Linked DNA regions of Xenopus tropicalis. The protein of the gene in region 2 purifies or fractionates together with the protein of the main gene of each other region. This does not show direct contact. Links are inferred from orthologs where the notes say so. Each region holds a gene or a part of one and is shown on either strand. Other genes may lie near its edges. The genes, in order: utp25, imp3 and utp3.

Region 1 (6,346 bases), on a different chromosome or scaffold from region 2:
GAAATGGGACATTCTGAAATATACTTAAAGGTGAACCACCCCTTTACGTGTTACTAGTATAATTTCATTTCCTTGTGTTACTGGCCCTTTTAAGACTTTAGTTGGATTAACAAAACAAAATGCTTTTTCCCCCCAAATATAACATTTCTAAAGTTTTTCTGTCACCTATAAAAGCCAAAAAATTGGTGTCATTTTTGCAGAGTTACCTGTTGAGGCGGAGAAAGCGGGAGACAATGAGGAGGAGGAGAGAGCTGGGGATCCAGCTGCAGAAGAAGCCGGGGAATTCACTGATGCCAAACATGAATCGAAGTTCAGTTTAGAAACCAATTTTATGGATGAGGACAATGAGGATTCCAAGGATGAGAGTGTCCCCTGTCCCACAGTGGCTACAGAAGGTAACGTTGGCTGTCTCGTGTCTGCTGATGCCTGGTTTGGGGCTGTGTGGGGCATTTGCTCTGTACAGACTGGCACGCAATGAGTCCCAGTGCCCATCCATAGGGGCAAGCAATAAGCAAAATTGGTGTCATTGTGTTGACACCAAAGTGCCAGTTCTTTTCCATGCTTTGTGCTTCCAATTGGCTGGTACAAAATAATTAGCATGATGGGCGCAAAGAGAACCCCACTGTAACCTTAGCCCTGTGCCCCATATCATGGTATTTAAGTCATTAATGGTATAACTGGTGTTTTTTTCATCTGTCTAGAACTGGAAAGAGTTTACATTCTCAGTTACCCTTTAATTGCCTACACGTTGTCATACTAAAGGATCCCTATTAGTATAATATGATAACATTTCTATTTATTTTATCCACGTTTGCCTTTGTTCAGTGAGGTTTTAGTACTCGCTAGCCTTGTCTGAACAGAGCAGTTATACAGCACTCCTTATGGAACTGCCTGATGCTCATAAGAGTAGGGGGCAGAGTAGGGGGCAGAGTACTATTCAGTTGGCTAAAAAAACTGTTCATCATCTGTAAATCTATTGCCTCTTCTAATGGGTATTTTATATTTGCTGCTGCTTTGGAGTTGGGGGTCAGTAAATATGTAGCAGATTCTGACTGATGCCTTTTTTTCTTCTTTACAGACCCATTTGTACAGCATGTTGGCAGGGAACTGGAAGAGCAAGACATCAGTAAGATAGGAACAAATCCTAAAAAAGCATCACTCAAGGTATGGGGACTAACTGGCTTCAATTAAAATTTTGGTTTCTAAAATAAAAAAAAAAAACAGAAAAGAACAGAAGAAGAAGGAAAGGTAAAAACTAAGTAAGCTTTATCAGAAAGGTCTATGTAAATACAGCCATAAGCACTCACAGAAACGCTGCACCGAGTCCTCTATCAAAAGAAACACAGGATTTCTTGTCTTCTTTTGTGTATACATGTTCTTCAGTATCAGGCTTCCTGTATCAGAAAAATCCTTCATTCCTGGGGCCAGAGTCTGCCCTCTCTCCTGCTCCCCCCTCCCATAAAAATTCACTCCCCCTCTCATCAGAATGTGTGATCTGAGCTACCAGCCCCTAAAGCTGCAGCAGGAAACTACTGAGACCAAGCTAAAATGGCAGCTGCTATCTTAAGTAAATGGAGGGAGCTTCTAGGGCTCTTTACTCAGGTATGGTAAAGCTTTCTGCAGAATAAATATTACATTCTAGCTGGCACTTATGTGGCTAATCTATTGTTAATAAATGCTAAAATGACTTTCCTTCTCCATATATTTATATGACAGAACCATTGGGTTATTGTCTCACTCATTTGTATACCTGACGTTGTATGTAATTGTTTCATTCCTTGGCATCCCTTGTTCCCTTTTGGTTTCAGTGGCCGGCCTTGGGTCAGCTGGGTGTCTCGAGCTCTCTTCCTCAGCTCCAGCCCCTAAAAGTCGAGAAGGAAACTGACCTACAGAAGCTGTATTTGCACAAGCCGCTCTTCTCCACGTGGCCCAAAGTGAACAGTCCCTTCCTGTCTGTTGATAAGGAACAGAATTTCACCCCCCTACAGAGAGAGCTTTTCAGTATCATGAACTCCTACAGGGACTTGTTCTTCCCGGCACGGAGCCCTACAGCGCAGGGCGAAGAGATCAGACATGTGTACTGTCTCCATGCGCTGAACCATGTTCTGAAAGCAAACGCCCAGGTATTGAATAACAACTCTCAGAAAAGAGATCAAAAACCCGGACTGGATGAAGAAGACCTAAGGGACCAGGGCCTGACCAGACCAAAGGTATCACATGAATGGATTACTTTTTATTAAAGACCAGTGCCCGTACTCTTAAAGGACATGTTAACCCCCCACAAATAAATTTAATCAGTGACCAGCCTCTTTGAAATCTTAAATAGCTGCCCTCTGGGTGTCCAAAGGTTAATAGTAAGGCTGCAGCATCCCTTTAATCACTTAGGATTCCTTCTTCTCCTGTAACTCACTTGGCCCCTCCCTCAGGAACTGACTTTGGCTCTTGGCTACTGAGCATGCTCAGTTCTTCTTAACTCAGGTTACCAAAGACACCCTTCAGTGTAGCAGCCAATGACGAGATGGCGCTGCTGGTTTCCATAGAAACTCTGCTCTAGCTGTGCCCTCTGCTGGAGATATTTCTTCTAACCTCCTCTCCTGAGCTCAGCTTAACCATTACTCAAATGCTCAATCCAAGTAGGACTTTTTTATCAATGTAGGTTCTGCCTGTGTAAGCCTGCATTCTTCATTGCATGAACTTGCACGTGCTGTTTGGAGATGTAAATGTCACTGAAGATGTGTGAGAGTGAAAATGGCCACTGGGTGAAAGCTGCTGTTTGTTTTAGGAAAATGTTATGTGCTGGAGAGCGGAGGGGGTATATGCAGTACAAGTGATGTGGTTAGTGTGGGGAAGATATGCCTAACTTATATAGTATCTAGTAGAATTAAGTCTAAAACAACTGGACTTTTCCTTGAAAACATTTCACCTTTCATCCGAGTGGCTTCTTCAGTTCCAATGACTGGTAGGGAATTCCCCGGCATTTAAACCCTTGAGGGGGTAAGTACAGTCACAGACATCCCTCAAGGGTTTAAATGCTGGGGAATTCCCTACCAGTCATTGGAACTGAAGAAGCCACTCGGATTTCAAGGAAAAACTCAGAAAAGTCCAGTTGTTTTTAGACTTAATTCTACTAGATACTGTATATCATGACCTGGATGAATGAGAATCTTCATAGGCCTTACTTATAAACATGGTAGGAAAATGTAGGGTTTGCATGTGCTGTAATAATAATAATATTGCATATTGGGTAAAGAAATATGTATTAAGGTGCCTCCAATCTATTGGTTTTCTTTCCACCGGCTATGCAGTATACCATAATACACATTTGAACCAGATAATGACACTGGGTTGCTTTATTGTGCTGGGCCAATCAAAGGTCAGGAGCATATGATACATTGGCCTTGCCATAGGAGTCATCATTTGGTATCCAATAAAATACTCCATATGTACACAGGGTCACAGCAGAAAAATGCTTTCCCACCGTAAGCAACAAATCTCCCCTTCTGCCAACACCCTAACCCAAAAATGTTCTGTTCAGTGTGAGTACAGCTCTCAGGGGCATTGCTGGTCTGAATAAAATGGCTTTAATCCGCTTTAAGAGCCACACATAATTCCTGGCTATACTGTCTATTAGTATTAGTACTATACTGTCTATCAGCTATAGGGAAGGGCAGCCTTTTAATGGGATCTGCGCTGAAGCTACAGGTTGCTGACTTGTACATACATATAGTTTTTTGTTTGGAGGTAGTAAAAAAGCAATGTCCATTTCTTCAATACCATCCTAAAACTGAAAGGGGGACAAAACAAGCATTGTATTGAGTAAACATGTAAAATGAAATCCTTTCCGTTTAAAGACTGCATAGTGTTTTAATGTTTTCAGGTCCTCATTGTTGTGCCGTTCCGAGAATCCGCCTTACGCATAGTGCAGATATTAATAAGCCTGATGGAGGTCGGAGGCAGAAAAGTCGACGTGAGCAATAAGAAGCGGTTCAAGGAAGAATTTGGATCGGAACCCGAAGACAGACCCCCAAACTTGAAGAGGCCTGAAGATTATGAAGCTGTGTTTGCTGGAAACATTGACGATCACTTTAGGATAGGTAAAGCTGTCCTGTTGCACTGGATATTTGTGTTAAACAGGCCCCTCTGTATCATGTTGAATGAGAACCTCCCTTTGCAGCTTGCTGTAGAATGCCCCCCATCATAGTCAAAACGTAGGCAGATCATCCCATTTGGCAATACCGAGTGGTAGTTCATCGGCGGATAGTGATATTATACTCTTGCCAATGTCTTATTAGGAGTGGCCATCTTGCAGAAGAGCATGAGGCTGTACTCTCCATTCTACTCCTCGGACATCATTATCGCCTCCCCCGTTGGCTTGCGTACCATCATTGGCAGCGAGGGGGAGAAGAAAAGGGATTTCGATTTCCTGTCCTCCATAGAGGTTCTCATTCTGGATCAAGCAGATTTGTACCTGATGCAGAACTGGGAGCATGTGTTGGTAAGTCATTTTGGTCACTAGGCTTTTGCATTGTTTGCTGGATCACAAATCACTATTTCATATATATATATATATATATATATATATATATATATATATATATATATATATATATCATAATTTGCATCACAGTGCAAATCATATATAGTTAACCAATCCAATGGTATATAGTGTTCATACATAAAAAAGTCAGTGTGATTTCTCTCTCTCACCAATAGGTGCCAGTATACGCATGTGTGACTTATTCAGTTTGAAATCCATAGAATGTGCATATGGTGTAAACATCTATAACAAAACATAATTTTTTTTTTATATACACAAAATACGATTCCCTTGTATGTCTCTCATTTCAAACTTATGTTAGCCACCTTGACTACGTATTCACACAGTATATTTAACCTAGGAAACAACCGAGCATTCAGCACCCATCTGGTTTAGAGTGCAGACACACAGCTTGACTTATATATATATATATATATATATATATATATATATATATATATATATGTGTGTGTGTGTGTATTATATTTGTCACTCTCTGATATCATTCCCTTCTGTTGCAGCACCTGATGGCTCACCTTAACCTGCAGCCTACAGACTCTCACGGGGTTGATTTCTCTCGTGTCCGCATGTGGAACCTCAGCAACTGGGCCAAGTACTATCGGCAGACACTGCTGTTCAGCTCCCTGCAGGAGCCCCAAATAAACTCTATATTCAACAAGCATTGCTTTAATTACTGCGGGCAGGTAAGCGCCATCTGTTTAATGTCCTGCCTTTATATTGGGGTACTTTATGTTACTTGCCTTTTGAAAGGTATATTGTTCATTGTGAGGATTTGCACTGGGCACTGATATTGGGCACTGATATTGAAAGGCCAGGTAATTGGTAAACTAGTCTGCACAAGCCTGAAACTGGCAGCAGAGTGAGGAAAGAGCGGGTAGACAAAGCAAGAGGTAAGTGATGTCAAATTTCCTACCCCTATGGGTAGTTTTAGTTTCTCTCATTAAAAAAGAAAATAAATCCTATGTACAGACTGTATGTATTTCCTTATTTAATCACTTATTTATGTAATTGATCGTCTCGATTTTCTTGTAGGTGGCAGTTAGGAACATGCCCGTTACTGGCTCTATCAGTCATGTTGTGGTCCAGCTCCCACACGTCTTCCAGAGATTAGAGGCAGACAGCCTGCTTACTGTTATAGATGCAAGGTAATTGCCCAACTGCCCCAGACTGACAGGGTGCTGGCATCAAAGAACGTTCACCCAGCACACCCTTACCTCCTCCAACAATTCCTACTCGGTGCACAGCCCAGAGAGTCAACACTCCCAACACAGTCCAGCAAAAAATAGTTGACTGGCACAACGAGTACAATGCAAGCGGGGCTTAGCCCCTGCGTGTTTATTAAAAAAATAGCAGCAAAGCATGATGCCTGACGAAGGGGTACACCCCCGAAACGTTGCTGCTATTTTTTGAATAAGGGTGCTGGCATCTCCACTCATTGTCATTATTTAATTGGTACCAGGGCAAAGACATTAAAACCCATAGGACTAAGGCATTAAATTAGTGATATATATGCAACCCTGATGCCACAATATCATGTTCTGGCCCTTTAAACCGTATTGCCTAATCTTTATTAGCTGTTCTGGCGCAGACCTGTGGCATTTCAGTGTATGTCACAGGACCTCCCAGTCCCAGTACTGAAGGTGCAGATACATGGGTCAATACATGAGTAGTTCTTAAGATGCAAATAAAGGGGAGGTGACCCATGATAGTTTGAACTGCCAATGCTTGAAATGTAACTCAAGGCATTGATACAATAGGGCTCACTTATGACTGCAGCTGCAGGGTGCA
Region 2 (6,918 bases):
GAGTTCATGGCCTTAGGTAGTATGTCATGTGTTTTTGAAGGAATTATATATAATATATATGTCATATTATACATGGAAGCGACTCACGAATACAAGTCAACAAAGTTTTGAATGGAATTCTAAGTATCTGCTAGCAAAATGCCTAATACAATATTGCCCAAGAACAGAAGCTCTGATGCTATGTCCATATATACACATAAACAAAATATAATATATGTGCACATAATAATAATTAACACATCCTTGTGCAATTTAGAGATTTTCCCATGGCATACTTTGTTTGTGAATGCCAATCCATTCTCGGAGATGACATTTTCATTGGAATGGCCGTATCATGTGTCCTAATCGTGTCCAATTTCCCACGATAAAATAGGGATGTGATTATGTAGGGTAGGACAAGCTTCTGTACAGAAAAGAGTTTTAATGAGTATCCAGACAAGCACCTGAGTTACGATGATCATAAATTAGAAGGTTAGCACAGTGAGTGGGCAGCGCTATTGGCCTTAGGAGATGACATTATAAATCCCTACTGTTTGCTCTGCTAACAGCTGCATATAACAGAAATAAACAGTATGAGGACTGACAGGAATTCGTAGGCTATATCTTATCTTTCTGGAAAGAGGAACAAGTCATCTGGAGTTCATTACCTACATGATCAACAATAGTTATAACCATTTCTAATCGCCTCACTAGGACAGTATAAGCAAGTGGCTATGTACATTTTCAAAGATGAATCAGATGCAAGGTGCCTAGATTTCCACAGTATACTCTATATGCTCACTGCCACCTGCCAAGTATAATACCTCTCTCTGTGTCAACTCTTGATCTTGCACATTTCCACACCTGGTGTCTTATACCATCTTCTCCTTTAAGATTGTAAGCTCTATTGATTAGGCCCTCTTCTCCTCCTGCATTGGTCCTAATGCTGAATTTTGACAACCGTCTATCTGCTATACAAAGAACAAGCTGCCATACATGATAACATTCTAGAATTGGCTCCCAAAACAGACAGAAAGTAACACTGTGTAATTTAGATATTGTATACTAAAGATGATGCACCATGTTGTAGAAACAGACACCAAAGTACTTTCGCAGTGACCCTCTAACAAATGCCAGATAAGGGAACTCTTACACCCAAGCCATACCTACCATCAGGTTGTGTTCCCAAAGAGTTGTGTTGGCCAGTATTGCAACACACAAACCAAAAAAAAGTTCAATGCACAATCCGAATAAATGTCTTAATTATTTAATTATCTTTTGTTTAATTATGTCTTGCCTGTCCTTGAGTGAAGTCTGTCCTTAATAAGAATAAACAATTCCAATTACAACATGTTTTTCAAAAAGAGAGAACATCAAATAAGAGGTAAAACCATGTGGAAGTTTGGCTTATCTTCCTACAGAATACAAGTTTATGGGGGGCACACCAAGAATAAAGGTGAACTAAAACTTAATATTTGAAGATGGCTTTCCCACCCTTGCACATTTTCCTTACCCGTTTTGAAAAAGTGCTGTATTTTTGACCTAGAGCAGCAAGCCAAATACAGATCTGACTGCCCAAGGAGCAACAGAGGTGGGGCTGCTTATTATACCTTATAGGTGCTTACGGTCATCCGACTGCCTAAATCATTCTGTAGGCATTTGGCCTGCATAAAAAAGTGGTCAATACACTCCAAACCGTTGTTCAAGAGCTAAATGCAAGTGCAAATTCAAAATATGTATGGTTCAAAATCTATACTTCATATACCTATTTAATAAAAATGACGCGACAAGATGTAGAGTGCTGGCAGCACCCACACAATGGAAAATAAATACCTATAAATGTATATAAAGGATATATTTAAATTTGCAGCCTATCCATTGGGGCTAATAAAACTTCATTTCATACTTACAGTTTCTCTAGGAGCTTTGCAGTACTTTGGACACGAAATTTATCTTTTTCATCCAGGTCTCTAATTTTTTGGGCAAGTTCTCGGATATTTCTACTGAGTTTGTTGTACCTACAGGACAAATGAATAGCAAGAATAAGTGAACTATTAGACCCCTATAGCCAACACAAAATAGGCACTGCAATAAAGGAAATATAAAGGAACAGTTATGAGCATGTTTCTTTGTTAAAGTTTGATGCAAACCTTGTTCATAAATAAACATGGTGACATTGCATAGAAATGCATACAGAAGACAACACTCTTTTAAGCATTCATGCATTATTTGATTACTAATCAAGCTTGCAGCAAGTACATTTCATATAAACCCACTATTTAAGGGATGAGGTTAACACTTCTAGTCTCTTGCCTGAAAAGTACTACATGCTCTTGATATTTTCCATCATCTAAGATCTCATTAGCACAAAATACTGGAATATGGTTTCTGATAGGATAAAACTTGGAAAGCAAGGTTAGGGTTAGAAGGGCCAAAAGGTCCTCTAAATAAAGAAATGTGGAGAAATGTCTTCTGAAAACAGAAGGTGTTCACATGCCTCACCTCAAGCTATACACGTAGCATTGCTCAAACTGTCAAAAAAGTGTGCATATCAATATGTTGAAAGAATGGCAAGTGCCATTCTGCTGGGCAGTGTGTATTAAATACCAACTTGCCCCATGCTATAGCCCTAAAGCCTAATGACACAAAGGACATTTACTGGGCTTTTGGCATCAAGCATTATTTTTACTGGTCAAGTGGCAAACCTACTTGTGGAAGCAAATGAATAATAGGGATCATGCATCATATAAGGCAGTGGTCCCCAACCAGTAGCTCAAGAACAACATGTTGCTCACCAACCCTTGATTGAAGAAGCTCCCAGGGCCTTAAAGGAGGTTCTTATTTTTTTTAACTCAAGGCTTGGAGTAAGTTTTGGTCTCCATAAAATCCACCTGTAGGCTGCCAGTTCACATAGGAGCAACCAAATAACCAATCACAGCCCTTATTTGGTATGCCCAGGTAAATTTGTCATGCTTGGGTTTCACTTTTTACACCTGAATGTGGCTCACAGGTAACAATGTTGGGGACCCCTGATATAAGATATTAAGTAATGTAAACACATGTCACACAACAGTATGCATCTGGGACCACTGAGATTTCAGTGAAAGTCAACATTTTCAGCCTCTGTAAGCAATGCAATATACCACTGTACAGCAACAGAATTAATCACCCCATCAATATATTTCATCAGCAGTGTTTCAATCTAAGGCACCATCACACTGATATTACTATATAAATATGTTACTATTAGAAAAATAAGGAACCCTTCTAATACAAAAAGCAATTTTCTATCCTTGAAGGATCTTCAATCTATTCTTGTATTTAAACACTGATTGCCATTAGACCAGCCTTGCTAATTACATTTTAAAAAGTGTCTCTGATTTGTCATGTGTTTCGGTCAGCATGTTTAATAAACATAACAAGACTGAGTTCAGCTGTTAACAAGAGCCTCTGCGTTCCCGGAAGTAGGCCATATTGTTGTCATGGTGAAAGTGTCATGGCTGCGCCCGTTTCACACGTGTACGAGAGGTATTTATACACTCTAATCGCCATTCTGTAAACAACATATCGGAATGAAACATAGCTGTAATGATTTCGCTTTGACATAGTTAGGCGACACTTACTTAGTATAGTCTTCTCGCTTATCCAAATGGTATTTTCGCAGCACTTTGACTTCATGGATGTTATTATCCACCTCCCAGTTAATAAAGTCTACCTTTTTCAGCAGCTTCTGCTCGTGATACTTTAACTTGCGAACCATTTCGCGTGAGTTACAAAGGCGAAGGAGAGAAGCAGGGCGGAAAGATACGTTTATGCTGCGGGCCCGGGGTACCGCTTGTTCCCCTCTGTGAGGCAGAAGCAGGGATCGGTACCGGAAAGCTCTGTGAGGTCACGGGTAGAGGGCGGGGCCTCCTTGGACAGCTGAGCGCATGCGTATTGCTGAGGCTTGATGGAGTTACTGTATACGCTGTACCATATCTCATACCGTTACTATTTCCCAGCTGTTAATGACAAGGGGTGGTTAATATCTTTCAACATCATTTCCAAGTACACTGTTGTAATATATGTACTGTTTTGAGCACCTAACAGTATATGACAAACCTAGACGTGCATGCTAAATTTTTTACAGATTTTAACTATATAACTGCATTTATTGCCACATTTTCAGTGACTACAGATGATAGAGTGAAACTATCAGTAAACAGATACTATGAACTAACAATGACTGGTCATAGTGCTGCTGCCCTACAAGCATATAAATAAATATGTGGCAATATACTGAAACACTTTTATTGTTATTAATACTTATTTATATAGCACCAGCATATTCTGCATTGCTGTATAATAGAAGGGCAGGATCAGACTGGAAAAAAACCCAGTGAGCCCTGCTAACCCAGACCCCCTATTGCAGCAAGGTTGCTATGAGGTATACCTGCATAGTGGGGGGGGGGGTTTGGGAGGATGGCAGGGGCCCCTAGAGGGAGTGGTGGGCCCCTGAAGTGGCAGCCCTGGTGGGCCCTGCACATTCCAGTTTGGCCCTGTGGAAGGGTGTGCATACATCTAACATATAGGGGCAGATTTATCAAAAGACGAGTTTCGAATCCCGAATGGGAAAAATTCAGATTGGAAACGCAAATTTCTGAAGATCGCAAATATCACGAAAATGCTTACGAAAAAATCGTATTTGTCACGATAATAACGTATTGGCGATCTGAAAGTCACAAAATTTTCGTACCGAACGATTGTAAACAGCGGGCAAACTGATCTGATTTTTTCGCGCTAAATATAGAAAATAGTCGCGCAAGGTACGAAAAAGTCGCGCAAGGTACGAAAAAGTTGCGGAAAATACAATTGAACGAACGCTCAGAGCATTCGTGGATAAGTAAATGTGCCCCATAGATTACATAAAACAAAAAATATATAACCAATATGAGAAGTAAAGAGATACCTGCTCAATAGAGCTTATGATCTAAAAGAGGAAGGGGGTATGAGAAACCAGGTGAAGGGACTTGTATGCAGTTCGTTAAGTCTACTAAAAAATCAAGAAAACATTTTTTAAACCCAATAGGCTTGTTTTGCATCCAATAAGAATTATTTATATCTTAGTTGGGATCAAGTACAAGGTACTGTTTTATTATTACAGAAAAAAAGGAAATCAGTTTTAAAATTCTGAATTATTTGATTAAAATTGAGTCTATGGGAGTTGGACTTTCCGTAATTTGGAGCTTTCTGGATAACGGGTTTCCAGATAAGGGATCCCATACCTGTACTGTCTATGGAAATTAGGGATATTTAACAACTGTAGTTGTTTTGGATGAGAGTTATCACTGTACTTTAAGTTTTTTAACGGACACCACCTGATTGGGACCAATGAAAATTGCGATTCTAGGATATATGCAAAAAGTATTGGGACATTACAAACTGCTTTGTCTTTCTGAGCTTCAAACACAATATTGAAAGGGTATTGAATCCCCAAAAAACAATTGATGAACACTTACAGCAGTTCTCTGAGCACTTTTGCAAGTTACATTTATTAGCAGTTTGCAGGCTTTTGGCACAGCTGTGCATTCAGCAACCATAGGGTTAACTGGATACATGAAGTACATTTAAAGTGCATAGAAAGGTAGGGTTGGTGTCACTCTGATATATATGTCTAAAAACTGCAAATATAAAAAAAACACAAAAAATAGATTATGTATGTAAATGCAAAAGTGCTCAGGAGATAACTCTGAGCAAATTTACGTTTTATTTAGATTCCTTTTAAATTTATCCTGGTTGAGTCCACTAGTACTGTGCAATTTTCCATTTTCAGCAGCCCATTTCAGATAAAGTTACAGCAACAATGACATCAAAAACTTTCTTCTGTGTTCCTCCAGTCACATCCTATTCCAAGTCTCTGGCACTGAGCATGTTGGTTGCACTTCCCTGGGGTGCTGGGAAGCTGGGCACATGTGGAATACCATGGAGGGTATGGAGGTGAAGGTCCATATTGGAAGAAAAGTTAGGAGTCTCTAACTTAAGCAGCAAGGGACTGTGGCTATAGGAAGTACATTGTAATGTCCTGCTGCAAGGCTATTTAAATGAGCCATATTTTATTTGGGGTTTGGTTGCAGTTTAAAAGCACCAAACACCAACAAGAATTCCACAACTTATTTAGAATTAGAGTCCATTCTCTAGCTCAGGACTGTCCAACTGGAAGCCTGTGGGCTGGATGTGGCCCTGTAAAGGATTGTTATGCTCAAAGGCTCCATAGACTACTGTATGACATAATCATTTTAATTGAAAAACATTTTAATTGAAATTGAAATGTTAGGCAACCCCCAGTGCACGTAATTTGGCACCCCCAGTGATTTTACCTGAGTTTATTGATATTGCAACAGAAGTAACAAAAGGTATAGCACAAGTATGCAAATATGCATGCAGCATTGATGTAATTACAGGGATAATTTATAGTGGAACAATTACGAGTTTGAGCAAGGTTAATACTAATACAGTTCATTATCTATTACAGTCTAAATACCAAGAGCCATACAGGACTAGGAAGGTGTATTACTTTGACATCTGTTGCATTTATTCCTTATAAATAAATTAGTTCACAGGAGCACTTACTGTAACACTTCCAAGTGTGCTAAACGCTTGCCGGTTGCCAAACAGCACAGAAGCTTCCGAGGAAGTGGCGGGAGGCCACGAAATGCATTAACTGTATAGTCCACTACGTTACATGCACTTTTCATTTTAAAATGGCTAAATAAACAGTGATTTTTTTTATATAACACCTATTTTTGAGTGCTCTGTATTTGTCGTTATAGTGCAATTTATTCCATATATCTAGGTATTTTGTATAGTTACCTGTTTTGGTGTATAAACCTTTCTCTATTTTACAGAGGTCACCAACTGTTTTGACCGTAACCCATACCAAACAAGGAGATCGTTGCTTGA
Region 3 (6,346 bases), on a different chromosome or scaffold from region 2:
TCAGGTTTGCAGCAGTAGCAGATGGTGAAATAAAACTAAAAGTACATTGCAGGGCTAATTTTGTGATTTAAGATAATTTGAAAGGTGCCCCCATTCTGCAAGTGTAATCCCAGCATATGTGCCTGGTCAGCTTCAGTTTTTAGCAAAGTGAAATGTGTATATATGACAAACCATATCCCTTTTAAGATTAATTTACACATGGGGTATTTACTAGTTCTGAGAAAAATACAACCGAGAACTGCCTATTAAAAAAATCCAAGAGTTGCTTATGTTTCATGTGACCAGTAATCTTAAAATGTTTTTAGTCCTTGGAGGACTATTATCGCATGAAAATGCAGTAAACAGAGTCATCGGAATTTGTAAAATACCCAATGTTTCATAAGGTAAAGAAGTTATTATAGATGCTTTAATATGGTGTTTTTATCTAAAACTTTATTATTAGGAATTCGGAGAAAAGCAAAGTGAAGAGAAGCAATCAGAACAAAAAATTGTCAAAGACTTAAACAAAATGTCTGAAAAAGAGAAGAGAAAGCTGCTCAAGAAGGAATCCCCTGAGTTGCTGGAACTCATGCAAGATTTAAAACTTAAGGCAATGCAGACATGTTATCCTTTTTTATGTTATTACCTGTTCTTATGCCTTGTATCATAGAATCTGCTATCAGGATATGACATGCCAGCAGCATATATATGTATTCTACATGTACATTGTGAATTGACTGGCAATAAAATGGTTAAACAGGATAGATACTAAGACAAACTTTTTTTTTCTTTTTTTTTTATTAGTTGGCAGAAGTAAAAAATGAACTGGAGCCACTACTTAAACTGGTGAAAAATGGAACCATTCCTAAAGGAAAGGTAACAAATAAACATGATGCTGTGCAAAAATATTACTGTTTACCCGTCTAAGAACTCTGGGCCTGCTTGCAGAAATGCAGACATTATGCCTTTCTACTGTTCGGACCTCAGAGCACCTCTGGTATTTTCAGGCTGTGTAGTTTGCGGCCACCAGTAGATCGGAATCAGTGTGAATAGTGTGAATAATCATGTGTGAATAGCAGGGAGAAGAAGTGCGCAATAATTAAGACTTTTTTCTGTGGCATAAATATAAAGAAAGCAGGCTGCTTCCTCTGCAGTGAATCCCCAGCCAGTAGCTTGTGAGCAACATGTTGCTCACCAACCCCCATGGATGTTGCTCTCAGTGCCCCTAAACCAGGTAGTTTTATTTTTTTTTTGAATCCTTGACTTGGTGGCAAGTTTTGGTAGAATAAAAACAAGATTTACTACCAAATAAAGCCTCCTGTAAGCTGATAGTGTGTATAGAGGCTACCTAATAGCCATTCTTAGCTCTTATTTGGCACCTCCATGAACTTTTATGATGTTTGTATTTCTCTCCAAGTCTTTTTACATTTCACTGTGGCTCACAAGTAAGAAAGGTTGGGAACCCCTAAGCTATAGACACTGTAGTCAGTCTCTTCTGGCTTCAGGTACAAACATAATACTACAAATTTCACAGAAAATGTTGTATCTGTATGTCCTGGTCCTTAATGGAACAGCAGCAAGATATAGTGATGCCTTTACTTGTTGGGCATAAGTCCATAGTTTAGATGGTACTGGAGCACTTCCATGTCAGTTGTATGTTAACCCTTCCCCAGTTTTGTGCAAGAAGACCAAATTGTTAGAAATTGTTATATAACCTGGGGATCCCCAACCTTTTTTTTTTTTTTTTACACATAAGCCACACTCAGATGTAAAAAGTGTTGATGAGCCACACAAGCATGAAATCTTTGGGGATGCCAAATAAGGGCTGTGATTGGCTATTCAGTAGCCCCATAATATGGACTGCTAGCCTGCAGGAGGCTCTGCTTGCAATAAAAGTGTGTCTTTGTGCATCCAAAACTTGCCTCCAAGCTAGAAATATAAAAATGGGCACCTATTTTGAAGCCACTGGGAGCATCATCAGAGGGTGGGAAGGAGTGGTGAGCAAGATGTTGCTCGCAAGTCACTGGATGGGGATCAATGTAATGACTTAATAAAGATTTGCGTTTTTGCCTCTTTTCCAAAAGGCATTAACTATTTCCATTTGTTTTCTAGGGAAGTACATATCTTCAGACAAAATACCAGCTATATTTAAAGTAAGGAAACCTTCATGTCAGACGTAGGTAACCTAAGGCACTGTGGGTGTTGTGAAATGTAATCCCCCACTAAGAGCATTATGGGAGGTGCCATCTAACAGTATCTAAAGTGCTGCAGGTTGCATTCCCCCTTGCACCCTTCTAAAAGTTTGTTTTGTCTTCATTGTGAATTTGGTTATATTGCTCTTTTATTTGTAGTTACTGCACAAACATCAGCTATTACTTAATCCTGAAAGCCAAGAGAATCTCCATCCATGGTCATCCCGTAATAGAAAGGCTTGTAACTTATAGAAATGTAAGTAAAAGATAAACCAATTTGATTTTCAACTTTTTATTTTTTTAGTAAGCTGTAAGACTAGAAAAAGGCATGGAAAATATAATAAAAAGATAAGTGATTTATATAGTAAATAATGTACCCCCTGTTTAAAATATAAGGATATTACAATTCCGAGGTGACTTCTAATATCCTCATATTTTACAGTAGGGGTAACTTTATTATAATACACCAGTTTCAGTGAGTCATGTGACAGAAACTACATCTCTAAGCACTGTTTATAACTTATGACATCGCTAAGCTCCATTTATAAGAATATTTATGGGATATTTATGGCTCTTGTCTATTATATAGAGACCTATTAGCCTCATGCTAGTGCTAAATTAAAGACTTAACTTGTGTACAAATTGTTTTCTCAGTTCTGAGTCCTCTCCTAATGTATGTATCAGTTGATTTTGGTGTTTTGCAATAGAAAGTAAAAACACTTTCTGTATAAGGAACATTAAACATGTTCTGATGTGTTTTTTTTTTTTTTTTTTGGCATGAGCCCATTTTTTCTATCATGCCTGTACCCAAGGCACAGCGATGGGGTGCCATACACAGATGAGAAGCAACATGGATAAATTCACCAGCATTCAGAGAGGTGCTGCGGGTATAGGCAATATAGGGAAGAAGGGCTCTGTCAACTCCCCAGAAGGTGAAACCGTCAAAATCTTGCACGCCTAGTTAGTAATTCATTTAGATGCATGCTGTATAGCTGCACAGAAATCAGTTCAGTTTGCAGCATGCTTCTAAATTAATTAACTAATTAATTAAAGGGGTGAGGCAGCAACACTATGAGAACTGCACAGCTAAGGCTGGTGCCACACGTAGCGTATTTTCGGCAAGTGGAAAAAAGCATGCCGAGAATTCGCCACTTCTGCTTGTGCCTGTACCGGGAAGCACTGAATCTGCCTAGGTGCAGGCATATGCAGGCAATATCTGCCAACAAACACAAGACTTTGTGCTGGATATTGGCTACATGTGCCTGCACCTGTGCGGATTCAGTGCTTGGGGTACAGGCACAAGCAGAAGAAGAGTTTTTACACTTGCCGACAATACATTATATGAGGCATCAGCCTAACACTGATAAGAATTCGTTTAAAGTGCACCTATCACCCCCATATTGTATTCTCCATCGGAGGTACGGGCTATTAGAGCCCACACTCCGGTTGGGGGAAACAATAATTTTTCTTTAAAAAAAAAAAGAAATAGCCCCAGCCAGTGCTAGTCTCCCTGTGCTGGGAGGGAGCTCCCCGTGAGGGCAGCCGTGTTGTTTGGCGCACATAGGCATAATGAGCAAATCTTCCCCCACTTGCTTATTATGCACTTGCACCAGACGTAGTAGTGGTGAATTCACCTACATGACACACATGCACATAATGAACGAGTTTTGGTACTCATTTTGCGCTTGTGTGTGTGTCACAAAATGGCTGCTCACTCCTGGTATGAGTAGGCTGGCGCTGGCATGGATTTTTTTTTTTTTTTTTTTTTTTTTTTTTTTTTTTGGTTGGCAGGGATGGTTTCCTCCACTGGAGGTGCAGGCTAATAGAGGCCATACTCGGGTTGGGGGAAACAATTGGGTGTGGGGTAATAGGTGCCCTTTAAGCAGAAAAGCAATGTAATATACCAAGAGGAGTTGTTAAGTGGTAACCACTCTGCACCAAGCTTAACCTAATGTCTTCATGCATGTTATCCAACTGATTTAACACAACTGTTACTATATTCATAATGCATTATACAGTAAATTGTGCTTTTCTTGTAGTGATTGATTAATATTCTTTGTGTTTTATGTTTGAAGCTAATAAACGATTTGAATATTGTGGATCAAAGATTGTCCTCAGAAATCAAGCAACTTCTTACCCAAGATTTCAACGAAACTGAAGTGGGACAAAAAAATTCCTCCAGCTTACCAAAGACTTCTAAGAAAGCTGCCACAAAGGTGAGGGCAGCTAAATTGCTTTGGCAGAAAATGATGCTAAAAGACTCAGTGGGCCTACATTATACACTTTTAATGTCAAATGTGTTTCACTTGAAGGATTTTAACGCTACTAGGCAAACACTGTATAGATTCTGTATGATTTTCTCTCTGAAGGGCTGCAAGGACCTTTTTACAGTTGGCTACTTTAGAGTTTAAAACCCTAGCAACCAGGCAGGCTGGTCCTTTATGGTGGGAAGAAGTTAATTATAAATATTACTTTTTTTTTTATATTTTTCTGCACATGTTAAATTGTTTCTTTGAAGCAGAAGTTCTTTTTTTAGCTGCTTTGTTTAGCCAACTTTTATGTGTTGTCTAAGGCGTATTCCACATGGTATGAATTTTGGGCACTTTGTCTGCCATGGTCTGGCACAGAGATAAAGAATCCAATCACCACTTGCCACCTCCCATTGATTTCCTAGCACTGAACTCATTTGATGTATCATGGGCTTGTCTCAGGCACTCTGATGCTGTGCTAAAAAAAAAAAAAAAAGCAGAGATCAAAACACCTGCAATCTGCCCTGACCTGGGCTGCCCTCAGATCTAGTTCTAACCTCAGTTCTGTCTGCACACAAATGTCATGTACAAGATATTATTATATTGTATATAATGTTTGATTTCTATATCCTGGGGTTGCTGTCCCTTTTTCTTCATTCTATTGCTTTGTTATAGCGATTTTGCTAAATGCTGGCATCTTATGTGTGTTTTACAGAGACCTTTGCCTGACATACAGTATGATGAAGATTCTGACCTTGATGAGGAAGTTGCTCTAAAATACTATAAGGAAATGGAACAGAAATTGCTAGAGAAGAGGAATCGCGGAGAAGAAAATCTTGTGTAAGCAACTTTTTTAGCTTTCATATATACAAGGTTGTGTGTGACATAAGGCAAGGTGAACATATCAAGATGGGCCATTCCTGCAGGTGGCAGTAAATAGGCGCTTGCAGGAAAAGTTCCATGGGCTTTTACAGAGCACATGTAATTTCCAGGATCTGTGAACTCTAATTAGATGCTATGTAAATTAAGAATGTTTATGCCAGGGCCCCAAACATAATGAAAAATAAGTTGATAAAGAAAAAAAAAGTAGCAATTAAATGGAACCTCTCACTCTCTTATTGTAACAGAAAAGGACAACTGTTTAATTATGAGTAAAAAATGAAATGGGATAAAATTTAAAGATCTGACAATTGAACAATGTCTTAGATGATGTATAGGTTACTGCAGACTTGGTGCCATTTCTTAAATACTTTACTCTGTCTTTTCAGTACTGACCTTCCATCTGAGGAACTGGATCCAAATGCAAAAAGAGCTATCACTTATCAGGTAACGCCTCAGATTGCTATGCGTGTGACTGTTGTGTATCTACAGTTGTACAACACTGAGGCTGACTGGGAAACAGTACTTTTCATACTTAGCCTTGTCTGCATTTTGCAGCCCATTAGTATGACCCGTAGTGACCCCTTTGTGATACAGACACTCAATAGGAAACTTGTTTACCAGAGGTTAATAAATACTTGGTATTGATTTCACATTGTTATTGCTAGGTAAAATCAAGCAAAGTATTAGGCTTCACTTGTTAGTTTACTATCCAGTGTTCTTTGGAGAAGGACTAGCTATTTTACAGTTCATAGCCTGTCCTGTGTGCACACATGGGGTGGAAAGAGATCGAAACAGTGTTTTCTTCACTGGTGTTTTTCAACTTGTGCCATTAGCCTTATGTAGAGACCTATGTGAAAGCAAAATAGCAAAAGTTGTTTGACATTAGATTTATGTAGATTTTTTTAAGTGGGGGTACTGAAGATAATGATAAAATCATCATGTATTTAATGCCTATATCTAATCCAATGGTATAGTTCTACTTTCATGTATTTTGGTAATTGTGTTGTTTCAGATTGCAAAGAATAAAGGACTTACACCTAAAAG

The links.
Region 1: the proteins of imp3 (region 2) and utp25 purify together in Homo sapiens (affinity purification with mass spectrometry; 3 studies listed by BioGRID and IntAct, with this or other methods). This does not show direct contact. The link is inferred for Xenopus tropicalis from reciprocal best matches to the Homo sapiens genes IMP3 and UTP25.
Region 3: the proteins of imp3 (region 2) and utp3 purify together in Homo sapiens (affinity purification with mass spectrometry; 3 studies listed by BioGRID and IntAct, with this or other methods). This does not show direct contact. The link is inferred for Xenopus tropicalis from reciprocal best matches to the Homo sapiens genes IMP3 and UTP3.

The regions. Positions count from the first base shown.
Region 1 is NC_030681.2:15,270,987-15,277,332, forward strand, and holds part of utp25 (digestive organ expansion factor homolog), read left to right. Parts: intron 1-200; coding exon 201-395; intron 396-1,078; coding exon 1,079-1,164; intron 1,165-1,808; coding exon 1,809-2,210; intron 2,211-3,877; coding exon 3,878-4,094; intron 4,095-4,292; coding exon 4,293-4,495; intron 4,496-5,058; coding exon 5,059-5,241; intron 5,242-5,590; coding exon 5,591-5,703; intron 5,704-6,346. UniProt on the Homo sapiens protein: Component of the ribosomal small subunit processome for the biogenesis of ribosomes, functions in pre-ribosomal RNA (pre-rRNA) processing. Essential for embryonic development in part through the regulation of p53 pathway.
Region 2 is NC_030680.2:118,011,969-118,018,886, reverse strand, and holds the start of imp3 (U3 small nucleolar ribonucleoprotein protein IMP3), read right to left. Parts: upstream 3,904-6,918; 5' UTR 3,740-3,903; coding exon 3,603-3,739; intron 1,998-3,602; coding exon 1,890-1,997; intron 1-1,889. UniProt on the Homo sapiens protein: Component of the 60-80S U3 small nucleolar ribonucleoprotein (U3 snoRNP). Required for the early cleavages during pre-18S ribosomal RNA processing. Part of the small subunit (SSU) processome, first precursor of the small eukaryotic ribosomal subunit.
Region 3 is NC_030683.2:94,841,520-94,847,865, forward strand, and holds part of utp3 (something about silencing protein 10), read left to right. Parts: intron 1-442; coding exon 443-589; intron 590-783; coding exon 784-855; intron 856-2,091; coding exon 2,092-2,132; intron 2,133-2,330; coding exon 2,331-2,427; intron 2,428-4,246; coding exon 4,247-4,387; intron 4,388-5,135; coding exon 5,136-5,260; intron 5,261-5,688; coding exon 5,689-5,746; intron 5,747-6,314; coding exon 6,315-6,346. UniProt on the Homo sapiens protein: Essential for gene silencing: has a role in the structure of silenced chromatin. Plays a role in the developing brain. Part of the small subunit (SSU) processome, first precursor of the small eukaryotic ribosomal subunit.